Linked DNA regions of Schizosaccharomyces pombe. Changing the gene in region 1 together with any one later gene gives a genetic interaction. Each region holds a gene or a part of one and is shown on either strand. Other genes may lie near its edges.

Region 1 (6,010 bases):
GAACAATTTATTGTTTTTGTTAGTAGCTGGATTTTATTGGATTTATTTATTATTTCCTTTTTATTTTAGATTGTTAGTTTTTGAACTAATTACGAACAGCTTGTGAGGTTTCAAAAATGACTTTTAACCATCCAACCAAGCAACCTTCCAAGCAACCTTCCCATAAAGTTAACAGTTTATAGTCAGGTGTTCTAAAACAATTAGATAAATATTCATTGTTATGTTTTTCCATCAGTCGCAAGGGGCATCACTGCAATGGTGCCTCGATTTCTCTGTATTCAACTTGCTTGCTAAGCTCTAACAGCGTCCCTACATATAGTCAGCATTATTAAAATACCTTTTGTATTTCATACCTCAATCAAATATGACCATACATACTTGCAACATCATACTGTTATTATCACACCGACATGTGTTCACTAGCTATTGTGAATTTCACAAACTAGAACAAGTCTATAGTATGGATGATGTTACTAGTGATATAGCAAAAGTGAATGAGATCATAAAATTTGGGTATAAATTAAAGCATAAATGCTATATATATATATATATATATATATATATATATATATTTCATATATGCGAGATTTCTTAAAAGATATTCAAAGTTAGAAACACAATGGCAGAAGAAGGTTACGTGGCTATAGTGACTGGGGCAACAGGATTAAATGGTGCAGCTATTATTAAGAGACTGTCAGAGGATGATAATTGCAAAACTATACACTGTATTTCTCGTTCGTTGAAAGATGAATACCCTAGAAAAATCAAGCATCATTCCATAGATCTGCTAAATGAAGAACCCAAAGATATTGCAAAAAAGTTTTCTCTCGAGGGGGTTAAGGGAATAAATTATGCATACTTTGCAGCTTATAAAGAAGAAAATAATGAAGAAAAGTTGTGTGAAGTTAACGGTAACATGTTGAGAAACTTTGTGCAAGCATTAGAACTTACTTCCATTCAAACTTTGAGACGCGTAATTCTAACCACTGGTCTAAAATTTTATGGATTACATTTAGGAGAAGTTCGTTTGCCAATGATTGAGACAGACATACGAGTACCTGAAACATTTAGTGGAACTCCAAATTTTTACTACGTTCAAGAAGATATTCTTAAAGAATTTAGTAACGGTAAAAAATGGGACTACACCATAGCTATGCCGAATGATATTTGCGGAGTATCAAAAGGAAGCTACATGAATGAAGCATTCACTATAGCATTATATGCTTTGGTTTGCAGGGAGCTTCATGAACCGTTCCGATTTCCAGGAAATGAAAAGTTCTATCTCGGCTTCGATGATATCTCGTATTCAAAGCTAATTGCTGATTTTCAATTATGGATGACATTTAAAGCAGAATGCAGTGAAGAGAAATTCAACATTGTAAACGGAGATATTCACAGTTGGTCAAGAACTTGGCCTAAAATAGCCGAATATTTTGGGGTCGAGGTACCAAAAAACCAATTTGCAACGGATTTTACATTAAGTACAGAAGTTACTTTAAGTACACCTTCTCCCATAAATCTGTACGAAAAAGAGCTCGGCATTAAACATACCCCCAATAGTAAAATAATAAACCAAATATCGCTTCAACAATGGGTCAAGCAAAAGAAAGTCCAAGACGCTTGGAGGACAATCGCAGAAAGAGAAAAACTCAATGCTCATGCTTTAGAAGTTGGGACTTGGGCGTTTTGTGATTTTTTGTTCGGCAGGACGTACAACGTTATATCCTCAATGAGCAAAGCCAGGAAGCTTGGTTACACTGATTACTATGATACCTTTGATGGATTTAAAGAGACATTTGATGAATTAAAAAAACAGAAACAAATCCCACAAAATTAGTCGAACTCATGAATTTCTCATTTTTTATTTTATATAAAAAATTTGAAGAATGTTCGAATCTCAGAAATGGAAGAAACTAATTCAACTTTTTCTTCGACAGTTTACTAATCAAATAGTCAAGCAATGAATGAATCACCCAATGAAATCAATTCTTTGTCAAGAATTTTATAAAAGTATTCTAGAATACATCGGGTAATATATTTGACCCGTATGTTATATTGAATAAACCTGCATTTTCAAGCCTCCAAAAGTTGAGTAAGCAAAGTGCTAATGCCGATACACAGTATTTTTTTAAAAAAAATACAGCCCTGGTATTTTGCCCGAATCATAAAGCCAGGCCCAAGGAGGATTTTTTGTTATCATGTAAAATATGTAAAGAATAAATTTTTCACATTTTGCTTGCCTTTCTTTTTTCACACAAATAAATTGCTACTAGCAACTGTTTAACCTATATGACCTCAAACGAATGTATGTGGCTCGTCTGCTTATTCAAATCATCAATATCGAACCGAGTTTCTATTTCATCATGATAAAGGCATAAAGACTTTTAACCCAAGCAACAGGTTAAGAGAACAAATCGAGAATACTGAAGAAAAAAAAAGGAAACAGAAATTCCCAGTCGTTCAAACCTTAGAATCCACTGTATCGTAACTCACCTTTTCACTTTCGGAAATTTGAACAGAAATCGAGTTTTTTGATACGTTTTCTAATTCTTTATTTTTCTCTAGAACTTCGTCCTCTCTGTCATTTCCTACTTGCACTGGAGGTGTAAATTTTTTCTTAAAGTAATTATGCATGGAAATACCAAACAAACCTGCTAGAACAAAGGCACCGCATATACATCCACCGACTATTTCGTAATTATCAGATAATCTATTGAGGCCATTCCAAAATGTACTTTCCATTGGGTGGACACTTATGATTAGCATAAGCATTTGAATGATACCAATTGTAAATGCTGCTATAACCGAAACAAATGTTAAAATTATGGAGTAATAAAGCCTAGAGAAATAAGGATTGGTTTCACCCGAAGAATATGAGTAAGCATAATACATTAATGCTCCATCTGTGGTATCAACTAAGCACATTCCAACAAGAAATACAATGGGGAAAAGTAAGATTGCCCATATAGATGTTCCTTTTAAGGCTTGCAAGGTTGCGATACCCAACAAGGAAACCTCAGTACTGGTATCAAATCCCAATCCGAAAACAAAACCAAGTACATAAATCTTCCACGGAGAGTCAACCAATCTAAACAATCTCTGCATTTTTCGAGCTAAGAATCCGGTGACCCCTTCATCTTTAGTGACACCAGATTTGCGATACATCCAAAGCCAATACGATAACCGGACTAGTAAAACGGTATTTCCAATTGCCAACAAAAGTAATAGTCCCATGCTAACTGAAGTTCCAATTATTCCTCCTATGGTTTGAAAGTTATTCCATCGATCTGCAAACTTACTGGAAGTAGCTGCTACTACGATGCAAGTTATAAGGACTACAGTTGAATGACCAATGCTGAACCAAGTTCCAACTGTTGACATTGGTTTGTCTGTTGATAATAAACGGCGCGTTAAGTTGTCAATTGCAGTAATATGATCAGCATCGAGAGCGTGTCTTAAACCAAGTGTCCAAGATAATAAAACTGAGAGAAATAACGATCTGTTAACTAAACTGATGACTATTGCCGCAACTATCCAAACTACGATATTTACCGATATCAAAGAAAAGATAGGCACGCTAACCTTTGGTGGAAGCTTTGATAGAAAGGGTATTTCGAAATAAAAATTCTCAAACTTCCTTAGAAATTCATTTTTTCTAGGTTTAACATATTCAGACATACTGTTCATACAAATAAACGCGTAATTTGAATAGATTGCGTTCACATAAACCTGTATCCACTTAGGATTCCAATAATAATAACAATTTTACCTAATATCACAACAGTTCTGCAACGCACTGTAGTAGTTTACTTTAAAGGAAGTAAATCGCTTGAGTTTGTGAGAAACGAACTTGGTTGACTCACAAAGTTCCTATCCTCAACACAATGGTAAAAGAATTGAATAGTGCAGAGTGTAGAAAAGATGAGCAGGTGATTTCAAAGGGTAAAATCAAAGCGATCATGAAGGATACTGCTGTAGTGCAACCTATCAAAGTCATATTTAATTCACGTGTCGCAGATTCATCTCGTAAGCAGCAACGACCGATATGGCGGTGATGCTTAAACGTGTTTATTGTCAGCAATACTACACTACGCTATGATACACTACGTTGAGTATCACTATATGTCACATGTTCTAATTATATATCGTACCATGTATGATACGATATGGAGATTGATCTTAATGATAATCTATTAAGATCAATATTATCTGAATACTATAAATAGAGCTACTGCTGAACCTCGTTCCTCAGTTCAGTTATGAGCTATATTAGTGATAGGTAACATTATAACCCAGTTAATACAATACCTATACTCAGTTGCTACTTATACAACCTGTGTATTGTAATATAATAGATCACAAGGAAAACTCACCGCAGTTCTACGTATCTTTAAATCAGATACCAAACTGCGTAGCTTACATATAAATTACATAACGCTAATGTCATACAACACCGTATTCGTCTGATTTGTCTACAAAAATGTAAACAAACAATTATTTTATCGCATTGATACAACAAACCAATTGAATATCGCCTTTTGAAGCATAAACTTTGCATTTAAAAGATGAATAAACAAAGGAAGAAGTTAATTGGATCTCACACCGCATAAACGATGCATAAAGTTTGATGTGGTGTCGTAACGGTGTATTATAGGTTGTTAACTGAGAGGTAAACATCAAACGTTTTCCGATTGGGTCCATGAATAAAGACTAAAAATGAGTAAATGTAAACAAACCCGACTATATATTGAGACTATTTTGTCAATTGAAATTCATAACCTCACTTCCATTCATACAGCTAAACATTTTTCAGGATTTTAGCTTGAAAAATGGGAAAACAAATAAACCAGTATCTTTAGAGGTTGTCAGTATCCATATCTTAAACAAAAGGTTAAATGCGGTTATGAGTGTCATCAAGCACGTTTCCGTAATGAATTAAAATTCAACAAAATACAGCGTGATAAAACAACGATACAAATCTTGATTTTACAAGTTATCGTTTGTTCTTTGTGATTATGTTTATCATTATCATCATTTACTTTTATTAATATGATGACTAGCTTTCCTACCCAAAAGCATGTTATTGTATTAGTAATTTGGTTACCCGAAAAAGTATAAAAACTTTTTCACTGGCTACCCTCTTTTGGTTACTTCCTATGGTTGTAAATATTTGGAACATCTTTACTTTCCTTCTTCATCGTTTTAGGAAAGACGACATTGTTCTTTATATTTCGCATTACTGCATGGTCGGTGAATCATTTATTTGACCAATGATTCAAGTCTTGTAATCCCCCAGTTCATTAAGAGGATTTCAGTTTCTTCTTTTAATAAGTTTAGTGTCGTCATTGAAGATTAGGTCAAAACAATGGCAATATCTGGCCCCATTTGTTTAAAATTATATTTTCTATCTTGTTTTCAATTTTCAATATTCGGAAAAGCTTCATTTTTTGAGATAACTTAAGAGAGATTTTTACATTGCTATGTACATTTAATTATGCCCACATAGATTGGATACCCAATAAAATTTGTGAAATTTTCAAATAAGCATATGCTTTGTAACAATATAGGATATCGGCGGTTCATTTGTTTTCAGTGCCAAGTCGATCTTTTAATGAGGAAATAATGAGTAGACTGTAAGAATTTCAATATTGAAACGTAAATTAGATAAATGCACTTTCGTCTCTATTTGTTAGGTAAAAAAATGCGAGATTAAATTTGTTTCACACTATTTTTCTAACGATCAATATATTCAACTATTTTCTGAATTTATCTTTTACAATAACAGTCAGGTATATTGACTTTTTGATTAAATTTAGAATATGTGAAAGTATTTTGCTGTTTTAGTGACTCTAAGCAATATTTATAATGTCGTCTACCGCATATTCCCAATAACCGATTATGTACTTGTAAAATCACTCAATTAATATTTTTATAATCTTTAGCCTTATAAACTTCAAGTTTTTTTTTTAAATTCGAATAAGCAAAGAACCTTTCATTTGTAGGATAATGA
Region 2 (3,273 bases), on another chromosome or scaffold:
AAAGTATTATTTGCAATGAATACAAGTCTTTGCAATACTTTTGAATTTTCTTTTAACAATAGCTTGACTACCAAACTATTGTAGGCAAATGAATTTATTATGTAAAGAAATCTTGGTTAAGTTCTATCCTTTTGCGGACCCTTCACCATCACTGGCTACTTGCCATATATATTATAAACTGCCATTATGTTCTACGTAAATTAGCCTGCGTCGAGGAAACGTAATGAATGGGCGGCTCAGCGTTGTATGGAAATAAGACTAGTTAAGTGTCCTTTAGTAATGCACTCGATTACTCTATGTGACGTCGAGAGGACGGAAGAGTAGGAATGATGGTAAAGGCAAAAAACATATTCGTTCTTTTGACAACACACAGCTCGCATCGCCTTCAATTACCCTTGCCAATGTTGCAAGTGATGATGGGTGAGATGGGATAGAAAGAGGAGCAAACTTTTAATCTGATATATCATTGATGTATAGGAAATGAGAAATAAAAATACAACTAGGTTTATAGTGCATTCCACTGTATAATATAAAGATTAGGATAGATACACATGACTTTTGAAGTGCAGAAGTATAGTCAAGTAGGGAATATAGTTGAGTAGATGCGAGTTGTAGAACAAAACAATTCAGTATACGCAATTTTCCCCTACGGGAACATATTTAGGTATGCGTGCGAATGGAGAGTGAAGATGAATGAAATGTAGAAAAAAAAAACACTGGATTGTCAGTTTTGCCATAAGATACATTTACTTTCTTGTTATTCCATTTTTCTACGAATCTTCTTTGCTAGGTTATTTTTATTAACTTTTTCGCAAACACGATTTTAATAACATTGAATTCCTCTTCAGTTATCAGATGTGAACGGTAAATACCAATTGTGAACTATTTCAAACGAACTTAATATTTGCTCTGTAAGTTGTAAAATAAATGTCTCATAATTATTTCGCTGTCAGTTTCCACAATCGCTTCTACTCTTTTTTTATATTTATATTTATATTTTTTTTTTGAATTAAATTAATTCATATTATTATTTATTTTTCTTGGTTTTCTAATGATATGTTTATGATATTTATAAAAGGATTTATTTATTTGCTTTTTGTATGAAGGATCGTCGCTTGAATGACAAAACACTTCTTTTGCTAGTCTCTCCTTTCCTCTTGTTTAACGTATATCACGATTATTTTGTCAGCGTAAAAGTGACATAGGGATTAGATGGCATCCCACTTTCTTTTTACTGGGAAACCTTGGCTTCAAGAGAAGACGCCTCGCCTTCACCTTCATCCCACTTGGGACCTTAAAGCTTCCAAAAGTCTTGCTCGTTTCCCTTATACGCCACTTGAAAGTCTTTTGGCCCCCATTTCGGCCTTTCACCCCACTTACCTAAATAGCGCAGCCCCGTCGAAGGCTCAGAGCCATCCAGTATTGCTCGCCGCTGGAGTAGGTGGAATAGTAGTTAGATGCCCCAGTCGGAAACCGATATATCGTACCACTCGAATTCAGTATCTCTTGTTAATCTCCCACTTTACAACTGCACTATTTAAATAATATTATAGGCCGATACAGTCAGTCTGCGAATTGCTTGCAACCTGTAGAAACAAATTGCTGTTTCTTTTGCAATAACATAGTGTTTCTTTATCGCAATAACCAACTACTGATTTCTTTCCCTATTGGAAGTAGATAGACGTTTACTTTCTTTTGTGAAGAAGCAGAAAGTTAACGTTAAGCCATTACCCTCGTTCATTGCTCAAAAGGAGGTCATTTCTTTTTATTTGATTTGTTCGTCTTTTAGGATCTTCATCTCCTGCTGAATTATTGGATTTCTTTTTAGTTCCCTCCACAAAGGCTCGAGAATAGGTTATCAGCTGTCGATTTTTGTCAAGGATCGTGCTTGCTAGTAGTCAAACCAATTTTAGCGGGGTTTGTGTACTTATTTTCGTTATTTGAGGTTTCTCTGCTCGCCAAAATTAAATTATACAAGTAAAAGATACATTTAATTATCATGAGCGCAGACGGGTTGGATTACACCAATCTCCTACCAATTGCAAATGTCGCGCGTATCATGAAATCGGCACTTCCCGAAAACGCCAAGATTTCCAAGGTATGCATGATTTGTTGAATTGAGAAAAATCGCATTGTCAGTCTCTTCGATTGATTGATTGCTAGTGACGGAGTAGGTCGCTGTGAGTGCGTTCTTCTCTTTTGTTTTGTAATTTTCATGTTGCAGTGCTAATGTCTGACTTTTTAGGAAGCTAAAGACTGCGTCCAAGATTGCGTTAGTGAGTTTATTTCCTTTGTTACTGGTGAAGGTATGGAATCAATAGCAAAAGCCTCATGTATAGTTATTTACTGACCATATAATAGCATCTGAACAATGCACTCAAGAAAAGAGAAAGACAATTACTGGTGAAGATGTTTTATTGGCTTTAAATACCCTTGGGTTCGAAAATTATGCCGAAGTTTTAAAGATTTCTCTCACCAAATACAGAGAGGTAAGGAAAAATTCTTTATTTGAATGGTGATACGTGTACTTCTACTTCCTTGTTGGCTTAGAGATTTAAATTGTCTCAAGCAATGAAGGCGCAACAATTCATTCACTCATACCAAAATTTCATTCTCATAGTCACTTTTCTAACATCTACTCTAGCAACAAGCAAGATCTGCTAGCATGAAAGAAACTAAACAAAGCCGGTCCGAAGAGCCTCAGTAATTTCCTTATATATTTTGCATTAGCGGGGTTTTCCCTGAAATATTTCCTGACTTTTGCAGCGATCGTCGATCGCCTTATTTGTTATTCCTCTCTCTTTTTGTACTCTCCTGTTTTATCTCTGTTTATCTTACAAATGATGCTAATTTACGAACTATGTTAATTTCTACTTTAACCAAGTTTCAAAGATAAGCACTATATTGCCAAAATGGCCTGTTCATATTTAAAACTTCCTTAATGTCGTCAGTATAAATTTAGCAATTACTATTGCCTGTTTACTTAAAGTGTATTATTGTGATTATCCCTCATTCGCTTTTGCTTACTTTTTCATTTTGTTAATCCTGCTACTGTTAACCTATATATTATTTTGAAAAAAATAGCATTTCATTTTTATTTTTACTCATTTCGTCTATTTCACCGAAATCAGCATAAGACACATATAGTCATTCGGTTCATGGAAGGATTAGCCGATGTTTCCGTAGTCATATACGTATCAATCAATAAATTTTCTTATTGTCAGGAAAGTGTTTAATCCTGCTGTAGCTAGTATGTAAATTACCTTCTCAGCG

What was found. A genetic interaction does not mean that the proteins touch.
Region 2: mutations in nic1 (region 1) and php3 together harm fitness less than expected from each alone (positive genetic interaction), as found in Schizosaccharomyces pombe (one large-scale study listed by BioGRID).

What each region holds. Positions count from the first base shown.
Region 1 is NC_003421.2:41,522-47,531, reverse strand, and holds nic1 (plasma membrane NiCoT heavy metal ion transmembrane transporter Nic1), read right to left. Parts: upstream 3,990-6,010; 5' UTR 3,688-3,989; coding exon 2,461-3,687; 3' UTR 1,838-2,460; coding exon of another isoform or gene 620-1,837; 3' UTR 547-619; downstream 1-546. Other genes in the region: SPOM_SPCC757.02C (epimarase), read left to right, coding at 620-1,837.
Region 2 is NC_003424.3:2,143,682-2,146,954, forward strand, and holds php3 (CCAAT-binding factor complex subunit Php3), read left to right. Parts: upstream 1-1,999; coding exon 2,000-2,098; intron 2,099-2,245; coding exon 2,246-2,306; intron 2,307-2,361; coding exon 2,362-2,489; intron 2,490-2,644; coding exon 2,645-2,707; downstream 2,708-3,273. Other genes in the region: SPOM_SPAC23C11.07 (uncharacterized protein), read left to right, coding at 1,213-1,545. UniProt on the Schizosaccharomyces pombe protein: Belongs to a complex that binds to the sequence CCAAT located upstream of genes involved in mitochondrial electron transport.